Linked DNA regions of Mus musculus. The protein of the gene in region 4 purifies or fractionates together with the protein of the main gene of each other region. This does not show direct contact. Links are inferred from orthologs where the notes say so. Each region holds a gene or a part of one and is shown on either strand. Other genes may lie near its edges.

Region 1 (8,653 bases), on a different chromosome or scaffold from region 4:
GCAGTTAACCTTAAATCCTAGATTCTTGTCCTTTTAAGCACTGGGATTACAGTATGTACCACCCACCTTGTAAAGAGCATCCCTTGCAAACAAAGGCAGGGGTAGACGTGACTGTGAGCACATTTAATCCCAGCACTTGGGAGGCACAGAAAGAGGGCCTCCTGAGTTCCAGGCCAATATTCAGAGACCCTGTCTGTGAGTGAGTGAGTGAGTGAGTGAGTGAGTGAGTATGTGTTCCCCATCCTTCCCTAACTAGTACAGTATGTTTTAGTAATGAGATTTTTGGTGTTTTAAAACAGCTCTCAAGCCAATGACTCAGAACAGACGAATTTCTGGTATTTCAGTATTCAGAGTGACAACCCAAGTGGTGGGGAGCAGGGATCTCAACAACACGCCACACCCCATAGAACCAATTCTTTTCTTTTCTAGCTTAGAACTCAGACATCTGCCTGCATCTGCTTCCTGAGTGCAGAGACTGAAGGTATGTGTCATCCCACCTGGCTAATTTGTCGTTTTCAGATAGGATTTCATAACTCAGGCTAACCTGGAACTTGAGATCCTCTTGCCTTGTCTTCTAAGTGTAGTTTAAAGTAGTGTGCCACCATTCTAGACCCCACTGAGCTAATCTGAGCACGATGAAGTTTAGGAAAGACAAAAGCAGAACCACCACACGAGTCAAATATTACATATGTTGACCACTCCGATCCCAGAAAATAGGGGGAAAAACCTCCAATTTTGAACAGGCCAAACTCAGCTGCTTGGGAGGCTGTCACTGGAGGGTGGTAATTTCAAGGCCAGTTCAAGGCTATCCTAGGTAAATTAGTGAGACCTTGTCTCAAAATACAGATGGATCTAGTTCCATGGTAGATCACTTGCCTAGGATGTACAAGGCCCTCAGTTCAATTCCTAGCTATGCCCCACTTCCTTAACTTTTCTATACTCATGTGTTTTAAATGTATGAAAACTTATTTGTTTGACTATGGTAACCTGATTAATATGGCTACAAATATACAAAACCCTATTTTCTTAAGACTACTGACTTGTTAAATTACTAAACTAAACTGGGCATATTGCCACACTCCCCAGCACTCATGAGGCAGGAGGAAGGTTTCTGAGTTTGAGGCCAGGCTGGTCTACAGTGAATTCTGGTTGAGCCAGGGGCTCTTCAGAGACAACCTGTCTCAATGAATGAATGAATGAGCAGGAGAAAGAGAGAGGGAATACTAACAATTAAAATGAACAGTCGTAGCCTCAAGCTTTAAGTTTTCCTATATAAACTCCTAAACAGTTCTTTAAACTGTCCTAAAGCTGTTCTTTAAAACGGCTTCTCACCTCCTTTTCTAAGACCATTAAATAATCTATATAAATTGTTTTCTATTACCTATGGGGAAAGTAAAAGATAATTCAGGCACCAGGCTCCACCCAGCATGCAAAATACAAGAGAAACCTATGACAGCAGCAAGAAGCAGGCAATTAGGGGCTGGTGAGATGGCTCAGTGGGTAAGAGCACCCGACTGCTCTTCCGAAGGTCCAGAGTTCAAATCCCAGCAACCACATGGTGGCTCACAACCATCCATAACGAGATCTGACTCCCTCTTCTGGAGTGTCTGAAGACAGCTACAATGTACTTCCATATAATAAATAAATATTTAAAAATAAATAAATAAATAAATAAAAAGAAAAAAACTGTTGACACACTTTAAAAAAAAAAAGAGCAGGCAATTAAAAGCCAACATTTACATAGTATCTAAAACTCAGGGTTGCGATGCATTCTTTCACTACCCTTGGCATTTTATTTACTAAGTGGTTACTACTATAATCAGTGACTATAATCAATTTTTGTTACACTAATAAAAATGAATTACCAGTCAGTAGGAGTGATCACTTTCTGTGACTGCCTTCTTCCTCTCCCTTTCTACTGATTTCCTTTCTTAGGCCAAATCACAGGAGTGCTTCCAGTTTCCTTCCCTCATTAAGTACAGTCACCACATGGCTTTTCTAGAACACTGTACTCAATAGCCAACAAGGCCAAGCTTTGCTCAAAAATTCTCATCATTCAAACCCCAAGTATGATTTAAAAATTGTCATTTATTTGGAAGCTACAATCATGTTTGCAAATCCCTTTTTAAAATGACTTTTAGAAGCAAATCAGAAAGCTTCCCCTCATACCTCGTTTGGGGGGGAGGGAGGGTTATTATATTTACATAAAGCCTAAGTCACCAGTCTTCAAATTAATTTCATGCTTCCTCCCAAGGACACAGATTAAGGGGGGGACCTCTTCTGGGATCGAGAGGGGAAACCTCCAGTACTCTCCCGGGACAGACAAGCTCACCTGGAGCTGCACTCCTATTTCCCCATCCCACCTCCTCCAGCTCCCAACAGGAGCCCAACTCACTACAAACTGAAATCTGCAAGACAAAATGTAGTTCAGCGTCTTTCCTAAATTGGAGGTTTTGAGGTCTGCTGTTCTACTTTCCAAATGCTGGGCCTGTGACTTTGGCAAAGACTAAGGACTGGTGGTTCAAAAGCTTCCACAGGAGAAACTGCCATTCAAGGAAAAGGGTCTGACCTAACATTTGAAAAAGCAAATGTTTTAACTAACATGGAAAAAACATGAGGAACACTTAATTCCAATCTTGTCTCATTGGACCCTACCACTTCCCAAACATTGAACTCACAGGACCTAGCCTTAGTATTCATGCCTTTAATCTCAGCACACAGGGAGGCGGAGACGGATCTCTGAGTTCAGGACCAGTATGGTCTACATAGTGTTTCAGAACAGCCAGAACTACACCTGCAATTAATTAAATCACAGGAACCATGTGTGTGACTTTTCATTTTTAAATACTAGTTTAATGGCCTATTGCCTAACTCAAATATCTAGTTACACTTCACAAACACAGTAGATATGTCAATGAAATTCTCAGAAAAAAAAAAAAAAAAAAAAAAAAAAACTAGACTGCAATTAGCAGGAGCTAAGTTGAGAATCTAGCATGTACTAGGGTCTAGTCTCCATCACCTGCAGGTGGGGTGTGTGTGTGTCAAATTAACAGAAGAGTAACTATTGAAATTTGTGTGTGTGTGTGTACACACACACACACACATATACATATATATAAAACCATTCTCTTAAAATGGATAAAACAGAGCTGTGGTGTAGCACAGTATTTGAGCACTTGTCTTGCTTGCATGCAATCCTGGGTTTGAGCCCCAATCATGTAACAATGAAATCATAAAACAGAAAAACTACAATCTTCTACATTCCTAATTCAAACTCCCCAAGCCTCAACTGAGTGCTCAAAATAGGTAAAGCTCCCCAAGCCAAGGAAGAGCATGCATTCCACCCGAACTTGGGTTGTCAACCCAAAGTGCTACTAAACATTATTTGAATTAACCATTTCTCAGCAGGTCTTTCCATACTTCATAATGACGAGTGTGAATAGTACAGTCGTCAATTTTACAAACGGGTAAACTGAGGCACTGACTCTGCAAAGGGAAATTCGTACTAAGGAATCCTGGCAAGCCTGGTCTCCTGTATTCTAGCCATCAGAACTCCGTGCCTATGAAGGATGGGGACAGAAGGGGGAAAAAAAAAACCCGCAGCAACTTTAGGATATCCTGGGTAAGAACAAACGGGGTAGGAGTGAGGTTCTGCACCTCCCCGGAAGAAGGCGAGGCTAAAAAGCCCCCCAAACTCTCAACTCCAAGGTGTGTCGGCCCAAAGGAAGAAATCCAATCGCAGCATCTCAGCTCGCCTCCACCCAAGGAGGGAGGCTCTGCAGTGATTTCCAAACACTCCACCCTCACCAGAAGACTCCTCTCCACCGCCGGCCCCGAGAAGCCGTCCGTTCCAGAGGCTTCTCCTTTGTGAGGCTCCACGGCCGCCGCCCCACACTGGGCCTCAGGGGAAAAGCCACCGCCCCCACCCGCCATATTTCCCCGAAAGGCGCCTAGCGCTACAGCTCCTCGATGCCGCCCTCTCCCGAGCGACCGGTACCGTTCCTCACATCGCCCCACCCAAGTGTCCTCCTCCACACCCCGCCGCGGTTCCCGAGGGCTCCCGTGGGGATCGCACGCCGGGAGCCGGCACCCGCCATCTCCTCCCCCCTCCCCCGCCCGGGGACTCGCCCTCCCCCTCCAGCCGCCATTTTACAACCAACTCCTCCACCCTCCGCCCCGGCCTGCTGGCGGGCGAGCGCCTGCAAGCTAAGGACACCGGAGGGGTCAAATCCCTAGGCCCGGGGACTCCCACCGCGCCGGGAGCCCGCAGGCCTCGGCCTGCTTCCCGACCCACGTCCCAAGCCGGGCTCCGAGACGGCTCCGCCATTTTGTCTCCGGTTCCCGGCCTCTGTGGGCGGCGGCGGAGGGTCCGAGACTTCCAGCCCCCCGACACCCCCCCGACTCACCGTCGTATCGCTCGGCCTGCTCTGCCAGCTTCGCCTGGTACACCAGATCCTCCCGATCATCCATTGCGGCAGCGGCTCCGGCAGGGTCTGCGCGACGGATGGAAGCGGATAGCGTCTCCGACTCTCTCAGCTTCTCGCTCCGCGTCCGAGCAGGAAAAATGGCGGCGCCTCAATCCGGGACTTCCGCCTGCGCACGCGGACAACTGCTCAGCTCTATGGCAACCGCTCCCTGGCAACTGGCGCGGGGGGGGGGGGGGGCGGATCCCGGAGTTCGGCGCCAGAAAAGGCTGGAACCAGCGCGACAGACGCCCCTCCTCCGTCGGCACAGCGGGCGGCCCTGTGGCGAGGCGGGAACTGCGACTGCGACGGAGAACGGCCCCTGGAGCGGCTGGAGGCGAGGTCGGCCTAGACTGCGGGAGGGGAGTTAGCCAGAAGCCCGTGCGGGGCGACCGCGGGCTGGCCTGTGGGGGACAGAGCGACAGGCTTGATGGGTTCTTGCTACGGCAGGCCTTCCTCGTTGAAGATCAACCGGCCCTGTGCATTCTAGCACATTTTTCTCATCCAATTTAAAGAATTGACAAGGACAAGAAGGGAAAGCTCGAGTTTTCACGCATCATCATCTCCCTTGCTTCCATACTTTAAGCATTTTCTTCTCCCCTCCAGCCATATTTTATCTCTTTGGCCTATCGTAGATAGGACTTTTGTTTAAAATCTCTGGTTTTGCTTCAAGCATAGGTGAGTGTGTTTAATTCCAACACTAGTGAGGTAGAGGCGCAAGGATCGAGTTTGGATCAAGTCCCATCTACAAAGCAAATTCCAGGTCAGCCAGGGCTACATTGTGAAACCCCCATCTCAAAAAAAAAAAAAAGGAAAGAAAGAAAAAAGAAAAAGTGGTCAATCTCAGCTAGTTAAGGGAAACCCTCACTCGAGGGAAAAAGGAGACATAGTGGCTTGCCTCACTTGGAGTGCAAGGTGCACCTGAGGTGTGTAAGGGCAAATTGACATTGATGAGTTAGAAATAAATAATCCTCCATGGGGATTGCTTCACTTGCAATGGCCACGCCTAGTCTGCTTCCTTATGGATTTTCAACATCTTATACTCAATATCAGCTTGCTGCTGAGCCATGCAGAAAAAGGGCCTCAAAATGAGTGTGAAATCAAAAGGTTGGGATCAAGGCCTGAGGTCACACGCCCAGAGGTTTGCATCTTAGTCTGTGAACGGACAGGAATTGTTTTGTCCAAACGCTGGAGACTGACCCCCACAGCTTCCACCGTGTGTTTTGCCACTGAGTTATAGTCCTATCTGGGCAAGCTGTTTTGATGATTCTGAGTGGAAGGTGACATCGTCATAATTGTACTTAAGAAAAGTATTCCGTACTTACTGAAGCGGTGGTTCACGCCTGTAATTCCAGCACTGTGGAAGCAGAGACAAGGATTGCCACAAGTTCCAGGCCATCCTGGACTAAAAATACCCTACCTCGAAACACAAACACAAAAAGAAAGGAGCTGGTGGTGAGAGTTTTGGTTTCTTCAAAAACCCAGCTATGGTCTGTGAATGTGTTTGCGTTTTAATCCCAGGCGTGGGATAAGAGGCGGCTTCGAAGCAGGTGACTAGGATTTACCTTGTGCACTAGCAGGGCTGTGGTCTTGCCAGCTGCGGATAGTTTATGTTTGGATTTCTGGAGACTCTGGAGAGGAGATAAATAAATGCCAGAGCCCAGAGGGGAACAGGGGCACTCCAAAGAAGAAGGCTGCTGCTCCTGGTTGCTTTTGTTGCAGTTTGTCAAATGGCCATAAGCAAAGAGACAAGAAGTTAGAGATACCCTGACGACAAAGATTAGACTTGCCCCAAGGACCCCGATGCCCCCAGTGAGCAGGAAGTAGCCTTTAGAGGTCTATATTCCCTTTCCCCTTCTTTCTCTCCTACCTAGTGTTGGGGGGGGGGGGGTTGGAAGGGGAGGTAGAGATATAAAAACCCAGTAAAATAGACAAAAAATATGCCAACAGGAGAAAGAAAACATTGCATAGCAGTAATGAACAAGAATGGTAAATTATCATATTACAAAATATAAGCAAAAGTAATCGATACTAGCCTCTGGACAGAGAGGAAAGGACAGACAAGAATAGCATCACGGAGAGGCCACAGGACTTTGTAGCTGACCAGCCATGTGAAATAAAACTTGACTTCCCACCTTCCCACCCTGTCAAAGGAATGAGCAACAGTACCAGTAACATAAAAGAAATACAGAGCTGAATATGGTAACTCACACTTATAATCCCAGCACTGAGAGGCTGAGGCAGGAGGATTGCCATAAGCTTGAGGCCAGCCTTGGTTACATAGTTCCAGTTCCAGGCCAGCCCCAGAAAAAGGATAAGACTATGTCTTTAAAGCAAACAGGAAGGCCAGGGATAGTGGCACACTTGGGAGGAAAAGCAGTTGGACCTCTTGAGTTTCAGGCCCAGCCACAGAGCAAGTTTCAGGACACCCAGTGCTACAGTGTGAGACCCTGCCTCAAAAAATACACACAAAAACCATGACAATAATAAAAAAAACAAACAGGAGTCCAGGAAGAGTTGCTGGCTAAGATAGAGAGAAAAACATGAACTCTTCTTTAGCACGTGCTGGTTCTGAGATTCCCCAAGCATTAGGCAGGTAGAATAGCAAACATGGAGTTGAAAGGGGGCTGATAAGCCTGGCATGGTGGTATACCTGTAATCCCAGCACTGAAGACAATGGGACTGGAAGATTGGGAGTTCAAGGCCACTCTCAGCTACACATCAAGTACAAGCCCTCCTGCCTTCCTAGTGCAGTGAATTAAGGTGTGTCCCACCACCTACTTTGTTCTTTGAGACTGACTCTCTTTCTGGGACGTGGAACTCTCAGTAGCCTAGGATGGCTGCCCAAATAAACCCCAGAGTTCTACTTGTCTCCACTCTCTGCTGCAAAGTTCACATGTGAGTTCTGCAGGCTGAACTTGCACTATCTACCCAGCCTCTCTAATAAACATTTTGTTAACACACATTACACAGAATGGCATTTTGGCATTTTTGTGCAGGGACACAGTGTTTAGGTCCTGTCACCCCCTTGCCTTCTCATCCCTCACACTGGCTGATCTCTTCCTGCTCACAACTGGTCTGTCTTACTTTCCTGTCCTTGTGTAGTGAGAATTTTGGTTTCTTTAAAAAGCCAGTTGTTCTGTAGCGATGTTTTTGCTTTAATCCTAGGTGTGGGATTAGAAACTGCTTCACAGCAGGTTACTAGGATTTGCCCAGGATTGCTCTAGCAGGGATGGGGTTTTGCCAACTGCAGTTAGTTTCTTTGAATGTGTGACATTTGGAATTCTGGGAACTTTTCAGAGGGTATAAACTACAGGGTCCCACATCTGAGGGTTGACTCCGGGGAGGGTCCTGTTCCTGGTCCTCCTGGTGCAGTTTATTAAGTGGTCCTAAGCAAAGAGTCAAGAAAACTAAATTGGATATCTTGTCCCAAGGAGCTCAATGCCCCTAATCAGTAGGAAGTAGTCCAAAGATGTCTCCACCCTCTTTCCCCTCCAACCTTTCTCTCCTACCTAGTGTTGGAGAGTTAGAAGGGATTAGGGTGGAAAGGGTCAGAAGGCTCAGTGGTTAAGAGCACTGACTGCTCTTTCAGAGGTTATGAATTCAATTCCCAGCAACCACATGGTGGCTCACAACCATCTGTAATGGGTAATGGGATCTGATGCCCTCTTCTCGTTTGTCTGAAGACAGTAACAGTGTAATCACATACATAAAATAAATAAAGCTTTAAAAAAAAAAAAGCCCAAAAGAATAGGGCTGCATCCTTGTGTGTGTGTGTGTTTGTGTGTGTGGTGTGTGTGTGAGTCAGTGAGTTTAGTTGGCACTGTTTTTTTTTTCCTTTTCTTTTTTTACATTTTATTTATTTTATGTATGTGAGTACACTATAGCTGTCTTCAGACACACCAGAAGAGGGCATCAGGCCACATTACAGATGGTTGTGAGCCACCATGTGGTTGCTGGGAATTAAAACTCAGGACCTCTGGTAGAGCAGTCGGTGCTCTTAACCGCTGAGCCATCTCTCCAACCCTAGCTGGCACTGCTTACAGGAGCGTGGGCACCTTACAAGTGGCTGCATCACTGAAGGAAGTGTCACCAGTTACCAGTGCAGTATGGCTTTATGTCAGCTTGACACAGCTTTATGTCCTCTTGATAGCTAAGAGCCTATCAGAGGAGGGAACAGAGTTCCAGGA
Region 2 (7,172 bases), on a different chromosome or scaffold from region 4:
TGCCAAGGCTGTCTTCAAATTAATGAAAGAAAGAAAAGGGAAAGCAGCAATGTGTAAATGCACACCGAAGAGTAAGGTCCAGCCGCTCTGGGGGAGGGGTGGGAAGCACTTGGTAGACATAGTAAAGAAAGGAGAGCTGGCCAGATGGCTCAGCTGGTAAAAGTGCTGCCAAGTATGCCAACTTGAGTTCAACCCCCAGGTCCCACAATTCCTGAAAGTTGTCCTTTGACTTCAACATATGCATACTTATGAACATATGAACACACAAAGAAAGAAATGAGTATCTGACAGGAAGTGGCATAAACTGCCAGCATGGAAAAGGTCTCAACACCAGACCTAGAACCTGTTTGGTGAACAGTGGACACAAATTGCCAATTTTCCCTCAGATAAGCTATCAGATCTATTCATCTGAATCCTATAATTATTTTCCATTTGTCTAAAAGAATAGGAGTCATGTTAGCAGAATTCAGCTTCTTGGCAAATACAAGTTTGATATGAGTCAATATAGTATTTTATATAGTAAAAGATATCTGAGAGCCATCAGGAAAGAGGACTAGGCTATAGTTTCCAAAGTCAAGGAGAGAACACAAACTCAGCATACCTCCGCTCATTTTACCTTTTAAATACAGATAGTGATGTCCCTACTCCTACTGCCATTCTCACAAAATCCTGGGCTTACTAAATCTCAAGGCAGCATGACATCAATGCTAACACTCCCCCATCCCACACACACCCCAATTCCAGCCCTTAGAGATGCTAGGGTAAGACTTCTATGTCCATGAATTGAGATCAGCCTGGGCCATATAGCAAGACCTGGCATTTCCACTCCTGGTCTCAAAAGGCTCACCCACAGGTTTTTCCTAGAAATTGACACTTGCTTTATAAACACGATATGTAACAATAATCCTAGAGCTTTAGTAAAGACTTGGGTTTGTCCTGACACAAGCAGGGTTACAAAGCTGGGTAAATGTGTTATAACAGTAACTGGCAAGTGAAATACTCCAGCTAACATTGGACTATCATCTTCCTTCTTTCCTAAACCAACAAAATGGGGTGGGGGGAAGGCTTAAATTTCTTCAGAAAGCCAGATATTTTATACTTTTTGATCTATTTTCATATATATATTTGGGGGGGGGGGGTGTTTTGTTTTCCTAGACTAGTCTCTTTGTGTAACCTTGCTGTCCTGGAACTAGTTCTATAGACTAGGCTGTCCATGAACTCAAGAGAACCCCACTGTCTCTGCCTCCTGATTAAAGGCATGTGTCACCACCATCTGGCTATTTTAAAATTTTTATTAGTGTGTGTGTGAGTGGGTGGGGGTGTGTTTTTGTGTCATGCATGCAAGTAGCAGAGCACCCACAGGAGTTAGTTTTCTCCTTCCATTCTGTAGGTTCCCAAGATCAAACTCAGTTTCATCAGTCTTGGGGGCAAGTGCTTTCATCTACTCAGCCATCTCATAGGCCCTATTTATTTTTGCTTTTCACAACAAGGTTTCTCTGTGTAGCTGTGGCTATCCTAGAACTCCCTTTGTAGACCAGGTTGGCCTCAAACTTGAAAGATATGCCTGCCCCTGACTTCTGAGTTCTGGAAGGCATGTGCCACCACTACTTTGCTGCATTTTTAATATTTTAACAAAGGTTTCAAATTCAAATGTAAAGACCATCTTACAAAGATGGCAGAACCAGACTAGAACAAGATGACAGGTATGTTATTTTATCTATGTATTGAAAATAAATGGGAACAAAAAATGGTGGTGTGCATCTCAAATTCCCAATGCTCTCAAAGATGAGGCAAGAGGACCCTACCCCGAGTCAATGCCAGCCTAGACATACATAGTTAAACCTAATCTGAGAATAAAGAAAGTGGGGATTAAAAGGCAACATTTAAGGCTTTGCTAGGGAAGAGCCAAGTTGCTGTGTAAAGTGATAATCTAGGCCAGCATGCTTCACAGCAACTGTAACGAGAATGTAAAGTAACGGGATTATCATTAGCTAGCAAAAACACAAAATAAATGGGAGCCTCAGTAGGAAAAGGCAGTGTCTAGCAATGGGGCTCAGAGGGAGAGCACTTAATGTGTGCAAAGCTCTTAGTGTTCAATGTCCAGCATTACAAAATAAAGGGGAAAATCTACCATAAAGGAAGCTAAAAATAGTGGCTGAGCAGTTACGTCTTAAGAACTAATCACTGGCCAGGCAGTTTGAGGCCAGCCTGGTCTACAGAGTAACCCTGCCTCAAAAAACCAAATCACCGGGTATGGTGGCGCACGCCTTTACTTCCAGCACTCGGGAGGCAGAGGCAGGCGGATTTCTGAGTTCGAGGCCAGCCTGGTCCAGAGTGAGTTCCAGGACAGCCAGGGCTACACAGAGAAACCCTGTCTCAAACCCCCACCCTCCACCCCCTCAAAAAAACAAAAAACAACAAAAAAAACCCACTTGAATTTTTTTTTCTTTTGCTTTTGAAGACAGGGTTTCTCTTTGTAGCCTGGGCTTTCTAGAATTTCCTTTGTAAACCAGGCTGACCTTACAAGTGCTGGGATTAAAAAAGATGTGGGTACTATCTACAACCATTCAGCAAGATTCTCTACAATTAAAAAATAACCAAATGGGCTGGCTAGATGGCTCAGAGGGTAAGAGATCATGAGTGCAAATCCCAGCAACCACATAGTTGCTCACAACCATCTGTAATGAGACCTGATGCCTTCTTCTGGTGTGTCTGAAGATAGCTACAGTGTTCTTATGTATAATAAACAAATCTTTAAAAAAAAAAAACCTTAATTCATTAAGAAACACATTTACATCCACAAAAGCAACTGTTTACTACCTATTGTACTACTTTTTATTGAAAAGCATCTTGCACTTAGGATGGCTGTTTTCTGAGTTTTACCATACACTTTAATGTTAAAAGGTTAAATTAATTTTTACATGCAAGTAGTGTTTCTCCACCTGGGAACAATGATGATAAAAAGATGACATACCACATGAAGTAAGTGTCTTTTTTAATTGAAAAGCTAACAAATTGTTGAGTTACAGTTCCCACTCCAAAACCACAAACTGGGTAGTAAACTAAATCTCTAGGCAACATATTCAAAGCTGAGAAGATTAAAAAAAAAAAAAAGAAAAAAAAAAAGAAAAAACAAGGCCTCAGATCCAATTAAGAGAGCCCAGCTGCACTCAAGCTTACCAGCAGCATAGAGGTTGGAAGACACCCACATGGTTAACTTCAAGCTGCCCTATTCCAGTTTCCGATTCATGAACAAGTATCATGTTTTGTTAATTCTATTTCAGCATACTTTTCTTAAGTTGTTTTATTTACAATGTCAACTTTGAAAGGCTCACTGAAGTTAACTGGACAATGAACTAGAGGCAGAAATCACTTTACAGAAAGGGAAAGCCCAAAATGCCACTTTCCGCAGAGAACCCATAGTTCGGTTTTATTCAGAGTAATGGGGGGAAAAGGAAACTTCTGCTCACAGAAGAAACTCAGCCACAGGTCTGATCTGGACTGGAACTACACATGCAGTGAAGACAAGGCGATGTTTGTCTACTGATCTCTAATATTAACAATTATAAACAGAGCAGTGCAACTAGCATTTGGAACAACCCTTCTAGTGTTACAGTGACAGGCACAGCAGTTCACTTCTCTTCACACCATTGGTTCTCTTTGCGTACCTAGAAGAGACAGAAGGTATACCTTGAGTTGTCTTTCCTGAGATGGCTAAGCACTACCTATACTGTATCATCAATAGCCTATGTCATATGAGAAAGGAAAATGGAAAGCTGGGAAAATATTAGGCTAAGTAAAAGCAGACCTGATGACTAACTTTCTAACATTGAACAGCAGATGTCAACTGAAAGCTCTAGTCCCACTTTCTAAGCTGGCAAGCACACCCAACTCATCCACTCTTCTATTATCAGGCCCTGATTTCTAAAGCCAACAGTTTACAACCTATACAAATATCACAGGTTTAAAAAAAAAAAGAATCTGATAATGAAGAACCTCTTTAGTTCAAAATCCATTTTTCTTATGTTTCTAAAAGAACAGTAGCAAGCTGAACATAACTCAGGTTAAAACTGTTATCCTGGAGGACATAATTCCTATCCCACCCCCACCCACAGCTCACAACCACCTGTAGCTCCAACTTCAAGAAATCTGATGCTCTCTTCTGGGCACCATGATCATACTCATGAATTAAAATTAAAGTCTTCAAGAACTCTCTCACCTAACTGCTTAGATCCAGAGACAGATGCACATTATGCCTTTGTATCAAGACTTTTGTTGTTATTAGTTCTTTTGTTCTCTAAGACAGGTTTCTCTATGTAGCCCTGGAACTCACAATCTACCTCAGCTTCCCAAGTACTGGGAGATAAAGGGCATTTGCCACCACGCCCCACTGGTATCAAGGAAATTTTAAAGGTGTTCTCGGGTAAGCAGCACAAGACCAAGACTTTCTGATGGGCTTTTTTTCTTGTCTTGGTATTGGGTTCCAGTTTCTTTTTAAAAAGCAATTGAAGATGGGTTGTGTGCTACCTACCTGGGCCTCTTCCTCTTCAGTAAAGTCATTTTTGATATTGAAGGTTTTACGAATCTCCTCAGGAGTTTTCCCCTTAATCATATTGGCCACAGTCTTGCATGTGACATCAAGCAAACCTTTGATGTCTAAGTAGTTTGCAGCCTGTAATTAATAGCAGGTTTTTTAGTCATATGTACTGAATATTTAAGGTTAACAATTTACATCAAATTGAGCTTAAAATGATACCCCGTTTAATGAACTCTTATGAAATTCTCTGCCCTGTAATACTGATTATTTTCAATGTAGTTTCACCTTTCACTAGCTTTCTTCTTTGGTTTTTGGGTTTTTTGTTGTTGTTTCAAGACAGGGTTTCTCTGTGTAGCCCTGGCCGTCCTCGAACTCAGAAATCCACCTGCGTCTGCCTCCCCAGTGCTGGGATTAAAGGCAGGTGTGCGGCACCACTGCCCGGCACTAGCTTTCTTCTTATACACTGCTTTAGCTTTATCCTAAATTTTAAGTTGTTTTATTTAAATTCAATTAGAAATACTAATGTAAAATTTTCCTTTGGCTTAAAAATAAATTACTGAATTTTCAAATATTCACAATTTTTCCCCAGGTTTTACTTTATTTTGAGACAAGGCCTCACTGCGCGTAGCCCTGAGTATCTTAAAACATGCTATGTAGATCAGGCTGGTCTCAAACTCAGAGCTCTGCCCCTATATTCTATATTAAAGGTATGCACCACTGCACCCAGCTTCAAACATTTTTCATGCTTCTACCACTGAAGTCAGAGAACATACTTTGTATAACTTGAATACTTTTACATCTGGGACTTGTATGGCCCAGAACTTAGTCTATCCTGACAAGAATTTATATGGCCATAATTAAATATAACATCCTACATATAAATTAAGACAAGCTGTTCAGCAGTGTTGCTGACCTGGTTTTCTGTCCACTTGTTATAATTACTGAGAAGCAACACTGGAGTTTCTATGCCTGCACAACTGTGTGCTTCATTCCTCTTCTCTTTTTGAAGTTCTGCTTCTAGGTAGATGTCTATGACAATTGTTCTTCACGAATCAATCCCCTTTATCATTATGAAAATAACCCTCTTAACTTCAAAATACAACCAGCTTTCTTCTGATTTGCATTAGCATACTCTTTTCCATTTTCACACAGGCAGCAAAAAATAGTTTTGCTTTATCTGACCTGCTATTTCTACCCCTCAAAGGTGTTTGGATCATTACATTTAATTTAACTACTAAAATATATTACATCGCGTGAGTACAGAGAATATCCACAGTTGAAGATCAATGCACCTAGCCAATTCAATCCTTTAATAGGTAAAGGCTCTGCAACAGAACTACTTTATACATTAACATACCAGAATAAGTTCAAAAAGTGTTCCTTGGTCAACTTTCAGGAATTCTTGGTCCCAAACAGGAATATCATCTGTCCGCTTTTCTTTGTTTTCATCATCCTCAGGAGGAGGAGGGTCATCTTTGTGGTGGGTGCACCACTGAATGACCTACAACAACAAATACTTCTGGCATTCTATGACAAGACTTTCAGTTCAATGCTGGGGGCATCACTACACTGTGATGAGAACTCGCTAAGGAAGTCTAACAAAAAGTTAAGAGTCAATTTTTAAAAATATTTTAATTATCGTGTGTTCTCTCTCTCTCTCTGCCCCCACTCCCTCCCTCTCTCCCTTCTCTCCTCATCCCGTCCCACCCCTCGCTGGTAAGATAGCTCAGTCAGTAAGAGCACTTGTTGAACAAGCATAAGGATCCCATTTTGAATCCTTAGTATCTATATAAAAATATTGAGACAGCATGCACTTGCAACTCCTAGTGTTGGTGGTATTGGGGTGCTTGCTGGTTAACAGTCTAGCTCTAGATTCAGGAAATAGAGAAGGAATGTATCAGGACACCTAATGTCTTCCTCAGGCTTCAGGTACACAACCAAAACACATGTACACATACCAAATTACTCATTTATACAAACAAACAACAGAATGACTATAATCTAAGTTCATTAAGAAGTCTAGACAGGTATGGTGACACATGCTTCCAATTCAGGCACCCACAAGGCAACAGTAGAATTTCTTCCAAGTTCAAAGCCAGCCTGAGCTATCAAACAAGACCCTTATTTTAAAAAAACAAACCAAGCCAGGAGGTGGTGCCTCACATCTTTAATATCACTACTCAGAGGCAAGTCAATCTCTGATCTCAAGGCCAGCCTGGTCTTCAGAGTGAGTTCCAGAACAGCCAGGGCTATACAGAGAAACCTTGTCTCGAAAACAAAAATGAATAAACAAAAACAAACCAAAGAAATAAAACAAACTCCACCCCCCCCCCCAAAGATCTTACCTAGGTTGGAGCTTAGTTTACTAACAGATCATATGTTAAGCATGTTTCAGACCCTAAATTCAATTCCCCAGTACCAAAATAAGAAAAACAAAAACAAAATCATCGCTTACCTTCTTTAGAATTGCTGCATTAACATTTGGTAAAGGAACAGGATCATCATCTCCTTCATCATCCATTCCCAAATCTAAGAAAACCAGGAGAGAAAAGTCATTGTTTCTCAACTCCATAACAACATACGACTTCTATTGCTGTGATAAAATACCAAAAGCAACTGGAGAGAAAATAATCAT
Region 3 (7,114 bases), on a different chromosome or scaffold from region 4:
ATAAATGACTTTATTATCTGTTCCTTTGACTTGCTTTACCTACTAGTATTGAGAGTACTTTTTTGTGTGTCTGTGCCCAATTGTGTGTATGTTAGGCCTGAAGAGACAGAGTTCTTTGGAGCTGGAGCCGGCGTTGCAGGCGTTTGTGAGCCACCCAGTGTGGTCGCTAGGATCTGAATTCTGTCCCTCCTGGAGATCGAGGGCTCTTTAATTGCTGAGCCGTCTCTCCAGCTCCCATCTTCTCTTTTGTATTTTGTGTGTGAGGACACAGTTAGAGAGGTTGGAAGACAACTTTTGAGTCAGTTCTTCCACCTTGCGGGTTCTAGGGATTGAACTCAGTTGTTAGGCTTGGCAACAGGCACCCTTACCAGGCTTGCCAGCCTAGTTTTTCCTACTTTTAAACTGCCTTAATCTAAATCGGAGTTTCTTTTTTTATGAGACCAGATCTTGCTGCCTTGTAGTTTGCTATGGAGACCAGGCTGGCTTCATCTCACAGAGATCTGCCTCCCAGGGGCTGGGATTAAAGGCCTGGATCACCATGCCTGGCTCTGTTTGTTAGTTTTTGCTGTTTATGTGTACGATTTGTTTTTCATGAGTGGGATGTGGGTTTGCACATGAGCGCAGGGCCCAAGGAGGCTGGAAGAGGACGTCAGATAGCCTGGAGCTAAGGTTGAGTCCTGGTTCCTGAAGAGAAACTGGATTCCAGCCCTTGGCAAAAGCAGCAGATGTTCCTTTACAGCTATAACTATCACTCCAGCCTAGTGTTAATCATTTCCCAAGAAGAAATTGGGGGAAAGAGTCTGAAATGCTTTCCCTTTATTAGTGAAATGAGTTACATTTATTGAGCATGCTGTACTGAATTGCGGATACAGATACTGGCTTTCCTTCCCTTAATGTAGCCTGTTTCACGGAGCCTCTCTTTTTTAAGGTTGATAATCCCTCTCCAAGCCCGATGGAAACATCTGGATGTGCGCCTGCAGAAGAGTATCTGTGTCAGGCTTTCTCTGATGTAATCCTTGCAGTGAGTGACGTAGACGCAGATGATGGGGCTGACCCAAACCTCTGTAGTGAATATGTGAAAGATATCTATGCTTATCTCCGACAACTGGAGGTCAGTATTGTCATTGCAGTCTGCCTTCTCTCACTGCAGCTTCCTGGATCAATATTCCTGGTCCTGGACTTAAAGGTGGTGCAATATACACTTGGTTTATTTTTTTGTGTTTTTCATATATATATACATAGATCAGTTAGCCTGGAACTCACAGAATGCTGGGATTAAAGTGATGTGACACCAACTCAACTATCAAAGATTTTTATCAACAGCACACGACATTTTTTTTAAACAACAAATAGCACTCTATTTGTTAGAATCAGAAACACTATTGTTTTGAAACACTAAAAAATAAAGTCATTAACCCCATGAAGTGGACTTGCCACTTTGAATATAAAATTTCTATATAGGGAGATAACCTTCCTAAAATAGGCATGTCACAAATGTGAAAGTCTTATCCTTGTGGGTCTAAGATGGGGATAGATGGCTAAAGGACGGTGGCTGTCCCACACCAGGCATTCTTTGTCAGTGTGCATGTACTTGTCAGAACGATGGAAGTTGGTTTCATCACCTTCGCCTACTTGGAAAGCTTTCTATTAATGGAACTTGCCCTTTTCTCTTTCTAAACAAGGCATTCTATAGCTAAATGTAGATTTATCAGGTTTAAACCCTCCCTGTCCCCCCAGTACTAGGGACAGAATACAGGACCTTGTGCATGCTAAGCAAGCACTTTACCACCGAACTATATCCTAGCTTTGTCTTCTCAGGTTGTCATTGGTTTTTTTGCTGTTGGGTTTTTATCTCTTTTGTAATAGTGTTTTCAAGCCTTGTGTGGGTGGGCACATGAGGGGTTCAAAGGACAGCTTTGAAGAGTTGGTTCCCTTGAAGAATGGCAGCAGCACATGCCTTTAATCCCTGCACTGAGGAGGCTAAGGGAGGCAGACCTCTGAGCTAGAGGCCAGCCAGGTCTACAAAGTGAGTTCCAGGACAGCCAGAGTTACACAAAGAAACACTGTCTTGAAAAGCAAAAAACAAGAGTAGGTTCTCCTTCTGCCTTTCTTTATGTCAGTCCTGGGGTCAGCAGGCCTTAGCCCATGAAGCCGTGTTGCTCATACCCCATTCTTTGTTAACATCTGTATTTTTCTTTTAAAGATTTACTTATTTTATGTTTATGAGTACACAGTAGCTGTCTTCTGACACACCAGAAGGTGCGTCAGATCTCATTATGGATGGTTGTGAGCCACCATGTGGTTGCTGGGATTTGAACTCAGGACCTCTGGAAGAGCAGCCATCTCTCCAGCCCACATCTGTATTTTCTAAAGTAGTCTTCAGTAAGATAATCTGGTTCGAAACTAGCTGTCTTCGTTTTTATTCTTGTTAATACTGCTAAAGCTTTGTGTTCTAACGCTCAGAACTTGGTTTGGTGTTACACTGTGTGGGTGTTTTGAGTTTATAACATGGAGCAGCAGATCTACAATTTATTTTTTCTGCATCACAAAACTTAGTTGTGAGTGAAAAGATCTGAGGTGATGATGGGTACAGGGCGTGAGCTGCAATAGTTCTGGCTAACCAGATGGTCGCTCTGTCAACAGTCTGAAGAGCCTACTATGACTTTGCAAACCTTGCTTTCTTGGTGAACTTCTGCCCTGAGCTGTTTGTTTGATGTTTGTTAACTGGTCTTTATGGACACCGATGGTAGATGTTGTGATGTTTCTAAAATAACTGACATTTTCTTTTGTAGGAAGAGCAGTCAGTTAGACCAAAATACCTACAGGGTCGTGAAGTGACTGGAAACATGAGAGCTATCCTCATTGACTGGCTAATACAGGTTCAGATGAAATTTAGGCTGCTTCAGGAGACCATGTACATGACTGTGTCCATTATTGATCGGTTCATGCAGGTATGTGTCATTCAGTAATTGAGAGTTATCCAGTTGTAGCTCTATGAGAATCTTGGAGGAGGGGAGGTGGATACTTAAGGTTGAACCTCGGGTCCCATACATGGTAGGCAGGTACCTTAACTGCTGAGCTATTATTATACCTAGCCTGAAACTGAATCCTTTCTTGGGAGGTAAGGTGTCATCAATTGAGATGTTTCAGTGCATTCTGTTGATTGAACTTGCCATTGCAGAACAGTTGTGTGCCCAAGAAGATGCTACAGCTGGTCGGTGTAACGGCCATGTTTATTGCAAGCAAATATGAGGAGATGTACCCTCCAGAAATAGGTGACTTCGCCTTTGTGACTAACAACACGTACACTAAGCACCAGATCAGACAGATGGAGATGAAGATTCTCAGAGTTCTGAACTTCAGCCTGGGTCGCCCTCTGCCTCTGCACTTCCTCCGTAGAGCATCTAAAGTCGGAGAGGTACAGATTCCTCGAGAAATGTTTGTTTTGCCACATGAGAAAAAACACAGCTGCTAACTTAAAATGTCAAATACATTAGACATTATACATTATTTAAAAATAAGGCTGCTGACCTAACTACATATTACGTGGTTACTTTTAAGACCTTCTGGGGACAGTTGTCTTTGAGAGTTTGTAGTCCCGGCAGGGCAGGGCTTTTTAAGTTAGTGCTGAAGGCTTAGAGTGGTGTGGTCTGTTCCAGGTTGACGTCGAGCAGCACACTTTGGCCAAATACCTCATGGAGCTCTCCATGCTGGACTACGACATGGTGCATTTTGCTCCTTCTCAAATTGCAGCTGGGGCTTTCTGCTTAGCGCTGAAAATTCTTGACAACGGTGAATGGGTAAGCTGTCTCACCAAACTACCAAGCATTGGAACGGACCACTTGGTGTTGAGATCACTCTCCTGGGTCCTAATATGGAAGGAGTGTGACCATAAATGGTAACCCAAATGCTGCGCTGCCATCTCAGTGCTGTAGCTAACTTCAGTCTTTAGGATAACACCCTTTGGAGAGAGGAAGCCACACCAAGTGATCTAAGAAACCTGTCCACATCCTTGGAGGTGCATTTCTCTTGTACGGACAGGGTGCTACCCTGACCTTGGGATAGAGAAGCCACAGTTACAATATTGTGCTTAGAGCTCAAGCTCTTCCAGAAGTATATGTGGGCAAAAAGATCTTGTTTCATGTGTAATCACACTGTTCACCCACCAGACTCTTAAATAGCATCTAGAAAGTTTATAAAAGGAGGGCTGGTGAGATGGCTCAGTGGGTAAGAGCACACTGACTGACTGCTCTTCCGAAGGTCCCGAGTTCAAATCCCAGCAACCACGTGGTGGCTCACAGCCATCCATACTGAGAACTGGCGCCCTCTTCTGGTGTGTCTAAAGACAGCTACAGTGTACTTATACATAATAATAAATAAATCTTTTTTTTTTTAAAGTTTATAAAAGCCGCCGGTGTTTTAAGCATGTTTTTGTTCTCTTAGACACCAACTCTGCAGCACTACCTATCCTACAGTGAAGACTCCCTGCTTCCTGTTATGCAGCACCTGGCTAAGAATGTAGTCATGGTGAACTGTGGCCTCACAAAGCACATGGTGAGTCCATTGAAAATTTAAGGCTGGTTTATGGCCTATAGTCCCACCATGCAAGGCAGGAAGAGGCAAGTTTTGAGTTTAGAGCCAGCCAGGACTCTATAGAAAGGTTGTTTAATTTCATTTTTTAAGTTAAAATATAATTACATTGTTTCTACTTCTCTTCCCCACCCCCCCCCCAACACACCCCCAATGGCAATGTTTTTCTTCTTCCTGATTGCAGTGCTTTTCTCTTACAGACTGTCAAGAACAAGTATGCAGCATCTAAGCATGCTAAGATCAGCACGCTGGCACAGCTGAACTGTACACTAGTTCAGAATTTGTCTAAGGCCGTGACAAAGGCATAACTCCAATAGACTGCTACATCTGCAGATGCAGTTGGCACCATGTGCCGCCTGTACATAGGATACCTACCGTGTTTACTTGCTCTTCAATAAAGGTTGTGACTTCTCATTTTACATAGCTTAACTCATTTGAATGTTGTTGCTTCTGAGTTTAGGCTAACGGAAGTTGTCGAATTTAGGAGTATATTAAAAACTGCATCTAGTTTTAACAGTGGATCCAACTAATGTATATATCTGTAGCCTATATGTCTATATACATCCTTCACTGTGTGTCCTTATATCATCATGTCTTCTGCCTCACTCTAGTTTAAACTCTAAATCTACCAGCTAGTCCTTTGTTCCATTTTCCAGTGGTTGCCACCTTTAACCACTGTCTCTTGGTTTGTCAACTTTCAGATCTGAAACCAAGTATCTTTTTTTATGTAATTATTTATTTGTTCTTAATTGGAAAATAGGATGTTCAAAATTAAAGGTGTGTTTTAAAAAGAATTTGCCCCCAAGTCTCACTATCAACAGATAAGGGTGTATTCTTGTATATCCTGTATAGATATAATCATGCATATACTCCCAAGGAGATATTTTTATATGGGTTCATTTTATCAACAGTATTCCTATCAGCATTCCTTTCAATGCCTATATTGCATTTCCTAGTGTGAACAAACTGTGTGTAACATAGTCATTCCCTCGGTGGGATTCAAGTGCATTCTCTCAGTGCCCTCCACAGTGTTCTTAAATGATGTTTAATGTCTTGCTTGGCTTCATTCATAGTAGCTCTTCCAGGGGTGTGCTTTGAATTCTGACAGCCAGATGGGTGTGGCTGCCACCATACCAAGGCGCCACTCCTGTCTTGTAATGCCACCTGGAAAAGAATCCTGTCTCATTTGCTGTTTTAATTTATACATCTGATATCAAGTTGAATAAAATTTATTGGTGGAAAGCTTTCACAATTCTCATTTGCCCTTTTGACTGTTTATGTTGTCTTTGCAATATGGAGACTTTATGTTGCTAATAAACATAGTTTTCGATTTTCAGCCAAGGTCGGCCAACTCCCAAGTGTGCACACCTTGTAATCCAGCCCAGGTTTTTAAGTGTACATATCTGATCTAAATGGTGTTATTCCCCTGTAATAATAGGACTTTTTTTTTCTTTTCTTTTTTTCTCTCTCTTTTTTAATATATTTTTCAAAAAAGGATGTCCAATCCCCTGGAACTGGAGTTACAGTTATAAACTGACATTTGCCTACTGGGAATTGAACCCAGGTTTTCTGGAAGAACAGCCAGTGCTCTTAACCACTGGGCCAATTGTCCAGCCCATGATAGGAATTTTTAAAACTGAGTTCTAAGAGTTTCTGTGGCTACATACGGCTTAACGAGTGCATCTGCGTGTATCTTGTTACTTGGAAACTTTTTTTTTTTTTGGTTTTTCGAGACAGGGTTTCTCTGTAGCCCTGGCTGTCCTGGAGCTCACTCTGTAGACCAGGCTGGCCTCAAACTCAGAAGTCCACCTGCCTCTGCCTCCTGAGTGCTGGGATTAAAGGCGTGCGCCACCACGCCCAGCACTTAGAAACCTCTTGTTGGGCCTTCACTGTATAATCCTGAGGGTCCTTACCCTCGTGCTGGGGTTTTCACTTTAAAAATCAACTACTTTTTTGATTTTTGATAATTTCCCTTTATCTTTCTTCAACCCACCCTCACCTGGAATTCTGAAGTTCATGGCCTTTGGCTTTTATTGTTGTGCATATGTTCATAAACATATAACCTGCTCAGTAGTGGTCCTTGTATGTATATAACTTCAGCACTGCCCACTGTAGTTGTCCTGATTGGGCCCCATGACTTTCCCCTTCTGTGTTAGCATCACCCTTGCTGAAGGTTGATTTAGGCTTGTTTAGTGTTGAAACTTCATGGGTGTAGCTTCCCTGACATTGAGGAGACAGAATTTCAAGCAGTCTTTCTAGTCCCCTGGCGCCTAATATCTGTGCCTCCTCTCCAGTGTTCTTCAGTGCAGGCGTTGTTGATAACATGAGCTGGGCTGGGGCAGGGCTTGTTCTGCATTTGATTGTGGTTTTCTGTGGACATAAAGATAAACATTCCGAATTGGGTGCTTGTGTGAGCTGCCTCTCCAGGTGGCCTGGACCTCAATCCTTCTTCTCCCTCCTAAATGCTGGAATGTTTTACTCTTCCTGCCTCTGCTTTGCTTCTGTGATACGGAGATGGTGCTAG
Region 4 (7,990 bases):
GACATACAGCTCAGGGTAGTGGAGCTTGGGGTACTCATTGCCGAGCCTATCTCTCTCTCTCACATATCGGCACCTAGTGAAAAGAAGTGAAGGACACAGTCGGGTCACCTCCTTCAGGCTAGGGGACAGGACACAACACAGGTGGTGTCCTGGCACTCCTTCCACCTGCCTGCTGCCGACACCATCTGCAGCAATAGCTTAGAGCCAGCGTGCTCTCCATTCTGTCCATGGTCCCCTCATTCTGCTCCTCTCACCCAAGTAGAAGTCTTCCTTCTTGTGCCTTTAAACAGCCGAGGCCTTCTACTTCCCCGGTAGCTACTAGAACCCCGTGTCTCTCTGCACTCTGCCTGAGCGGCACGAAAGCCACAGTTTTCAGTGTCCTACTGTGTGCCGCCTCACATCTCATTCACCCCACTCGTCTCCTGTCCTCTATCTGGGAGCTTCCACTCATTGACCTCATTTTGAAGGACTTGTGAACATTTTGTACAATTCTAAGTTTTTAAAATATGCTTGTCTGCCTCCTGTCTACTCTGAAATGTCCCTCCAGGAAGCTAGACTTTTGGTTTGCTATGTTGTTAGTGTTAAATAACAATAAGAATTTGAGAGTGGATGCAAGCCCCCACTATCTCCATTCATGTGTGAATATTCAGTCCTACTCAAATGGGTGGGTTGTTTTCTTTTTTGTTGTTGTTGTTTGGGTGACAGGATCTCACTATGTCACTGTAATGAGATCCTGTAGTAGTCTAGACTGACCTTGAATCTGAGTGCTGAAATTAAAGGCATGCGCCATCATACCTGCCCTTGAACCCAGGACTTCACAAATACTAGAGAAGTGCTCTATCTGATATGAGCCACACTCCTAGCCTAACAGTACGTTAGTGTGCTTCTTATAGGATCGCATGCAGCTCAGGCTGGCTTTACACTTCTGATCCTCTGCCTTAGCTTCCCCAGGGCTGGAACCAGACATGCACCACCATGCCAGATGCTGTTTTAGAGTATCGCCAGCACATCAACATCTGCAGAGGAAGCTCTCCAGACTTTTCTGCCCTTTGCTTAAGGAACAACTGCTTGGACGTTATGAGACTAGTCGGTAGAACGCAATACAGTGGGGGAAACTGGGAGAGCCGAAGTAAAAATCAATATAAAGGACCAACAAGAGTGAGTCATTTGGAAAGAGGCTGAACCCATGGTGATACTACAAAGTTACAACTGGTATCACCGTAAGACTGAACTGGAGAAGCCTGAAAATCATTTGCAATCAAAACGTAAAGGTTAAGTTCATCAACTACATTCAAGAAATATGTCTGGGCTGGGTGGTAGTGTCACAGGCCTCTATACCCAGCACCCAGGAGGCAATGAAGATGGATCTTTGGGTTGGAGGCTAGCATCATCTACATGTCCTGAGTTCCAGAACATTTAGGACTCAACAGAGAAACACTACCTTGAACCCCTTCTCCACCAAGAAAGGAGGAAAAATGTTTGGGAGAGCAAGATGGGTAAAAGCTGCTCAGAAATCCACACAGCAGAGCACTCCCCCAAGCTGACTTCTGAACTCCATATACACACTATGGTAGGGCACTTTGCGCGTGCACAAAATAAAAAAAAGTATAAAATAAATACTAATCGTAAAAATGTCTATTTGGCCGGGTGCCTAAATCCCTGAGGCCAGCCAGCCTATTCTACAGACTGAGTTCCAGAATAGCCAGGGTTACACAGTGAAACCCTTTTTTGAAGGGGAAAAAAAAAGGCTGTTTGAAAGACAAATCAGTGGACAGAAGTCCAACTAAGGGAAACTATGTTATAATAGGAATTATAGTTTCCACAAAAGCCATGTATACACATAATGTGTAGACTGGAGCAGCACTGGAGCGCCTTGTGACTTTGTGAAAGGTGCCTGTGTTAGGGTTGTGACGTGTGCCCTGCTCTCCACTGTCAGGAAGCCTCCGCCCCAAAGCCTTATTCTCTGTGGTACTCACATTCGAGGGCCTCTTTCAGAGGAAAACTCACAGTGGAACACGACAATGACACGCTTGCCATCAGTAGGCACAATAGGGTTCTTAAGTAAGAAGTCTTCAACCTCTTCTTCCATGTGCAGATTCACGGCACCCTGTGGAGACAGCAGACACTGAGCACCTGCTAAGCCACACCCAGGAGTCTGTAGGTCCCACGGCCCAGCAGCGCAGTAGACCACCTGCCTGTTATGTCAGTGAGGCTTTCTCTGTAGGCCATTTCTAAATGTCACTTCATAAAGTCAGAAGCTAATCCCCACTCACATTTAAATCCTGCTTTTTATGGTAATACTAAACAGGCATGACCAGCTCCTTCCTTCTAGAAATCTGGTGTTCCAACATGTCCCTTCCCAAGGTAGGCAGCCTGACTCAACAGCAGAGCCTTGGTACAGATACCAGGGCCATGCTGCCAAACTGGCTTCTTTTACTCAGGAGCTCTGGGGTGCTCAAACATTCATATTTAAATATCCCAAATGCTGTGGAACTCTTTGTGGCCCCACTGAATAGCTTAGACATCAGGGATGCCACCTAGAAATGCCCTGAAACAGGACAGTATGAGGGAGTGAAGTGGAACTGGTGGGAATATTCATTCAGTTTGTGTATATTGGCCGTCAGCCAAGAGATGTCACTATCCCACCTTCTAAGACTCCCAAGATAATAAGTCTCAAGAATCCAAACCTTGATGTGACCTCCTTCATACTCATATGGGTATCGGCAGTCAATGATAACAAACTCTTTAATGAGACCGGCAAACTTGCCATTCAAAACAGATGCCATCTATGAAGAGAGAGGGAAGAGGGTGTCATTTGCTGGCTGTCAGGTAACGAGATTCCAACTCCCCAAATGCAGTGGGTTCCAAAAGCCTGACTTACAATTTCTGGAGAAATATATTTCAAATCCTGATGCTTCCCAGAGACTGTATTAAAGAGATAACCCTTTAGAAAATGAAAAAAAGGAAACAGAAAATATTTAGAGGAACGTGAAAGCTTGCAAATATTAAGGTTTATTCTGCTGCCTGTGTGGTAGGAAGCAGCTTGAAAAACAAACCGAGAAACAAACATAAGTCAATACTATATGCTAATTACCTTTCTATGCACTTAATCAACATCTAGATATTTAATTATTATTGTTTAAGGAGATATGTTTTCATTATGTAGAGCAGTCCAGCTCCAGACTCCGAGGTGAGCCTGCTCCTGGGGTAAGTTAGTAAATGATTATGCTCACCCTCTGGGTCTGGTCTTACCACCTAAGGAGTCCCGAGTCTAGATCTGAACACAGAAACCACAGGTCATTTCCTTTCTCCACTGGCTTTTCTTTTGTTACTGTTTTGTTTTGTTTTGTTTTTCAAGACAGGGTTTCTCTATGTATCCTCAGACACAGAGACCTGCCTGCCGTTGGAATGCTGAGATTAAAGGTGTGCAGTAGCTGCAGCACCGCCCGGCACCTTCCCCCACCCCCCTCCTGTTTTTTTATCAGGAATTCTCATCTTAGTATGAGAAATCACTTAAATGCAGAGAGGACAGTCAGGCCGTTGTGGTACAAGTTTAGTCCTAGCATTAGGGGTTGGGAGGAGGCAGAGGCAGGCGATCTCTGAGTTCAAAGCCAGTAGGGACTACAACGAGTTCCAGGACAGTCAGGACTGCATAGAGGAACTGTGTCTGGAACAGCAAACACACACGCAGTGAGGAGATCAGGTGTGACTCAGGAATATAATAACAGCATTTGGGAGGAGGATATAAGTTCAAGAGCATCCCTAGTTTGGAGTTTGGAGCCAACTTAGAATATGAGGTGGTTCTGTAACAAATAAAACCACAAAGACAGTGGGTGTGGTACTGTAGGCTGAGGCAGTAGAACTAGGTTAATTTGGGTAAAATAGTGAGGCCACGCCTTGGAAAGCGAGACAACTTGCTCATGTGATGGGCACCTGGTTGCTCAGGATGGAGTTAGGTAGTGAGAATGGAAGAACATCTTGGCCCAAGCCTAACAAGGACGAACACCTCAGTGCTACTCAGTGCTGTTTATCCCCCTCAAAAACTCCTTGTTCTTCCTTGTTTTGTTCTTTTTAGACAGGGTCTCTCTCTATATAGCCCTGGTCCTTGAAGTTACTGTATAGACCAGGCTGGCTTCAGTCTGTCTAGCTCTGCCTTACAAATGCTAAGATTAAAGATGTGGGCCATCATGGCTAGCTGTACTGTACCATAGCTCAGGCTCATGCTTTCCCAGACACACTGGTCAGAGTGAAGGTAACCGTACAGGGAACCACCGAGCCAGCAAGTCTCATGACCACCACGTGCCTCATCCTGACAAGTTCAGCTGAGCTGATTGTTCTTTAGCTTTTACTTTTAAAACTGCTGCCTTGGCGGCACCCAGGGGCTGCCTTGAGGAAGGAAGGAGCAAGGTAAGTGGGGTTCTAGCACCCCTTGCCAACACCACCGGACTAGAGTGACTCTGCTTGCAGTTACCTTGGAGAAATCTCCTATAAGGTCTCTTGGGTCACTGTCCAAAATGTTCTCAATGGTTCCTTTGGGGGAAGACATCAGGGATAGAGACTGGGATGGAAGCTGTAAGAAATCCAAGGTAGAGAATGAGACCAGGGTTTTGATTAAAAGCTCTACAATTATTTACCTTTACCATGCCAAGAAAAGGAAACTGAAATATGAATGCCTATAGTAAGTAAAAGATTCTGTACTGTGACTTAAGCAGAGGAAGGATAGCTCCATGCTATCTAGTAACTAGTTGAATTTCCCTGAAACCCACGAATCTCTGGTTGGCCTGGAACTTGATAATGTAGATCAGGATAGTCTCAAACTCAAAGAGTGCACAGAGATCACCGGCATGCCGACACACCAACCAGCACCTGTCCTCTTTTACTGTTCGCAATGAGAACTGTTGAGGTGATACCAAGACAGGCGTGAGATACAATCCCAGAGGCAGGAGGACTGCCACAATGTTGAGCCTAGCCAGGGCTATATGGCAAGAATCTGCCTTAAAAATAAAAATTAAAAAACCAAAAACCAAATCAAAACCTGAACCTGACACTGTAACAGAAGATCATTGTCATGTATCTCACAAAATAACACATAATTACTTTATCTCAGTAGAGTTCCTGAACTTCTGATAAGGAAGGTTTTTGTAAGAAAACAAGATTTGAGTTGTAAAGATCATTTGGATGGCTTCTAACTAAACAGCCTTCTGTTGTGATTCTGCTCTACAGCTACACAAGGAACCACTGTGTAAGCACGCCTGAGAACTGTAATCTAGAGGCAACAGGCGTAAGATTAGAACTTTGAACTATTTCTTTTTCTCTTCCAAGGACAGCAGTAAACCTTTCAAGGCACGATGACGTCAGTGAGGTGCTCAGAGGGTAAGAGTACTTGAATGTGCCTGACAGTCCTGGGATCCCATGGTGGAGAGAGAACCAAGGCTGCACAGTTGTCCTCTGACCCCACACATGCCATAGCACACACAGGACTTGCACCACAACAGTATTTAAAAGAAGGGCAGAGGGGAGTGGGCACATTAAGATTCTTTCTCAAGCCCAGTCTGTCAGGTTAGAGAGACCCAGACAGCACTCTTTGATGCCCCCTTCCTTAAATAGGAAATTAGAGAGGCAGATAGATCTATTCTTTGTTTAGCAATATCAAGAAGCTGGAGCCATTCTATTTTATAGATAGGTTCTTGTGCACCATGGCACAGGCACAGGCACACACACACACACACACAACAAAATTTCAAACCAAAACAAAAACCTGGGTATGGCTTGTGATTCTAGCACAAGGGAGGTAGAGACAGAGGAAAAGTTCTCTGACCTCTAAATGTGCACTGTGGTATTTATATCCCTACCTCTTGATAAATGAATGGCATAGGAAAGTAAGAAAGAGCAGAGATGGAGCAATAGGCACAATGCCCTGGGTTCAATCCTCAGCACCAAGCAAACTTGTCCCCCCAAACACAAACCCCACACCCTAAAAAACAAACAAAACCCCACATAATGCGGGCTGAAGAGATGGCTCAAGAACTCTTTGTTGTCTCCAGTACTACATGGTGGATTACACTGTTAGTACTTGCAGTTCTAGGGGATCCATGCCTTCCCACCCTGTGGGCACCAGAATTGCACGTTGTACAGACACATATGCAGACAACAATCCTACACACAGTAACAGAAGAACCAACTCCCCCAAGTCCATATACCATCCGATCACTAGAAAGCTATGGTGGTTTCAATGGATGTACCCACAGTTGGAGCATTAATATGGGGTCCCAATTGATGGCACTGCTTAGGGGACTAGGAGAAGTGGTGGCGTAGCCAGAGGAAGTTGCCACTGGGCTTCTTTTCTTTTTCTCTTCTTTGTGCTTTGAGACAGAGTTTCTCTGTGTAGCTCTGGCTGCCCTGGAACTCTGCTGTAGACCAGGCTGGGCTCAAACTCAGAGATTTACTTTCCTCTGCTCCACCATGTCCAGCCTTGGACACCTAATCCTAATGCCACCCCCAGGTCACTCTGCTTTTTCTGCTCCCATGCCTTTCTGCCATGCTTTCCCTCAGTGATGGTAATACCCTTAAGCCCCACACCCCTTTCTGTAACTTGCCTTAGCTGTGGCGTGTTACCACAGCAATCAGAATGAAGCTAATACAAACACCTGAAATGAATAGCACATTACCAACCACTACTCAGAAACAGAAGGAATGCAGCTCACACCCTGCTACTGAGCACGCCATTCTGGAAAATGATCTGGCAGCACCTGCAAGACTGAATGAACCATACACCTGGTCCATGGCACAGCAATTCTACCCCTATGAGATTATCTAGGGGATAAAGAGGAGTACTGGACTCTATAGACCAGTAGGAACCTCTAGACATGACAAGTGACTCAAGTTCCTTAACAAGACAGACAGAATGCAGGATGGTGGTGCACACCTGTAATCCAAGCACCAGGAGGATCACAAGTTCCAGGCCAGCCCGAAACAAGACTCTGCCTCAAAAGCCAAAGCAAAATAAAAACCTAGCAACAGATGACACAATCTTCTAAGTAAAAACAAACAGAAGCAAATAAAAGTAGCAAGGCTTGCTGGGCAGTGGTGGTGCACTCCTTTAATCCCAGCGTGTGGGAAGCAGAGGCAGTTGGATCTGAGTTCAAGGCCAACCTGGGCAGCCACAGATATACAGAGAAACCCTGTTCAGAAAAAAACAAAACAAAAGAAAAGAGCAGTAAGGCTTAGTAAGGACAGGACAAGCAAGTTGAGACGTTTAGAGCCACGACTGTTGTTAGGACTCTGGATCAAGGGAGAAGGTAACTAACCTGGGCGGGCTCCGGAACATCCGCCTTCGCCTTCACAGGGCTGGGCACACTCTTCCTCCTCTTTGTACCCCGAGGAGGCTCCTCGTGAGACCGGTCTGCTCTCTTCAACACCGCCCGAGTGCTGGAGCCGCACGGGGAAGGGGAGTCAAACAGCCCGCAACGATCGGCCTTAGGGTCAGAGACAGGTCCAACCTTGGATTAAAATCCAACCACTTGAATGGCAGTTAGTCTAAAACCCAGCCCCAAGGTCAACATAGTTAAGGAGTACTTTGTTTAGTGGCTCAGCTCCTCAGAACTCCACATGCCGAGTAACTTACAAGGTTTGCAGGTCTCCTCATGACAAGGGGAGCTGTCCAGAGGCTTGCCATGCATGATGGGGTCTCCTCATCATTCTAGAGCAAGAGAAAACTGCTTTTAAATACATCTAGCAGAGGGGCTAGGAAGAAGAAAAAGACCCAGCAACCAAATGTTTTGCAGGTAACTCTCCTAAGAAATGCCAGATAAGCCTAGATAAGAAGTTTTGTGTTTTGTTTTGGAGACAGAGTCTTACTGTGTTTGGCTAGCATCCTGAATGTTAAAATTTCTGGCATGGAACACCAGAGCAGGCCTGTTTCTTCTTGGTACAAGGGATTGATTGAGCCTAAGGCCTTGTACACTCCCCTAAGCACATGCTATATCTTAGT

The links.
Region 1: the proteins of Cdc25a (region 4) and Ywhae purify together in Homo sapiens (affinity purification with mass spectrometry; 4 studies listed by BioGRID and IntAct, with this or other methods). This does not show direct contact. The link is inferred for Mus musculus from reciprocal best matches to the Homo sapiens genes CDC25A and YWHAE.
Region 2: the proteins of Cdc25a (region 4) and Skp1 purify together in Homo sapiens (affinity purification with western blotting; 6 studies listed by BioGRID and IntAct, with this or other methods). This does not show direct contact. The link is inferred for Mus musculus from reciprocal best matches to the Homo sapiens genes CDC25A and SKP1.
Region 3: the proteins of Cdc25a (region 4) and Ccnb1 purify together in Homo sapiens (affinity purification with mass spectrometry; 3 studies listed by BioGRID, with this or other methods). This does not show direct contact. The link is inferred for Mus musculus from reciprocal best matches to the Homo sapiens genes CDC25A and CCNB1.

The regions. Positions count from the first base shown.
Region 1 is NC_000077.6:75,728,845-75,737,497, reverse strand, and holds the start of Ywhae (14-3-3 protein epsilon), read right to left. Parts: upstream 4,612-8,653; 5' UTR 4,471-4,611; coding exon 4,407-4,470; intron 1-4,406. UniProt on the Homo sapiens protein: Adapter protein implicated in the regulation of a large spectrum of both general and specialized signaling pathways. Binds to a large number of partners, usually by recognition of a phosphoserine or phosphothreonine motif.
Region 2 is NC_000077.6:52,242,481-52,249,652, reverse strand, and holds the end of Skp1 (S-phase kinase-associated protein 1), read right to left. Parts: intron 7,067-7,172; coding exon 6,993-7,066; intron 6,039-6,992; coding exon 5,895-6,038; intron 4,673-5,894; coding exon 4,532-4,672; intron 3,669-4,531; coding exon 3,633-3,668; 3' UTR 2,795-3,632; downstream 1-2,794. UniProt on the Homo sapiens protein: Essential component of the SCF (SKP1-CUL1-F-box protein) ubiquitin ligase complex, which mediates the ubiquitination of proteins involved in cell cycle progression, signal transduction and transcription.
Region 3 is NC_000079.6:100,777,462-100,784,575, reverse strand, and holds the end of Ccnb1 (G2/mitotic-specific cyclin-B1), read left to right. Parts: intron 1-928; coding exon 929-1,111; intron 1,112-2,792; coding exon 2,793-2,951; intron 2,952-3,181; coding exon 3,182-3,418; intron 3,419-3,659; coding exon 3,660-3,800; intron 3,801-4,443; coding exon 4,444-4,554; intron 4,555-4,790; coding exon 4,791-4,898; 3' UTR 4,899-5,837; downstream 5,838-7,114. UniProt on the Homo sapiens protein: Essential for the control of the cell cycle at the G2/M (mitosis) transition.
Region 4 is NC_000075.6:109,883,828-109,891,817, reverse strand, and holds part of Cdc25a (M-phase inducer phosphatase 1), read right to left. Parts: intron 7,700-7,990; coding exon 7,625-7,699; intron 7,500-7,624; coding exon of another isoform or gene 7,476-7,499; coding exon 7,308-7,475; intron 4,571-7,307; coding exon 4,472-4,570; intron 2,945-4,471; coding exon 2,882-2,944; intron 2,787-2,881; coding exon 2,688-2,786; intron 2,176-2,687; exon of another isoform or gene 2,108-2,175; coding exon 1,977-2,107; intron 74-1,976; coding exon 1-73. UniProt on the Homo sapiens protein: Tyrosine protein phosphatase which functions as a dosage-dependent inducer of mitotic progression. Directly dephosphorylates CDK1 and stimulates its kinase activity. Also dephosphorylates CDK2 in complex with cyclin-E, in vitro.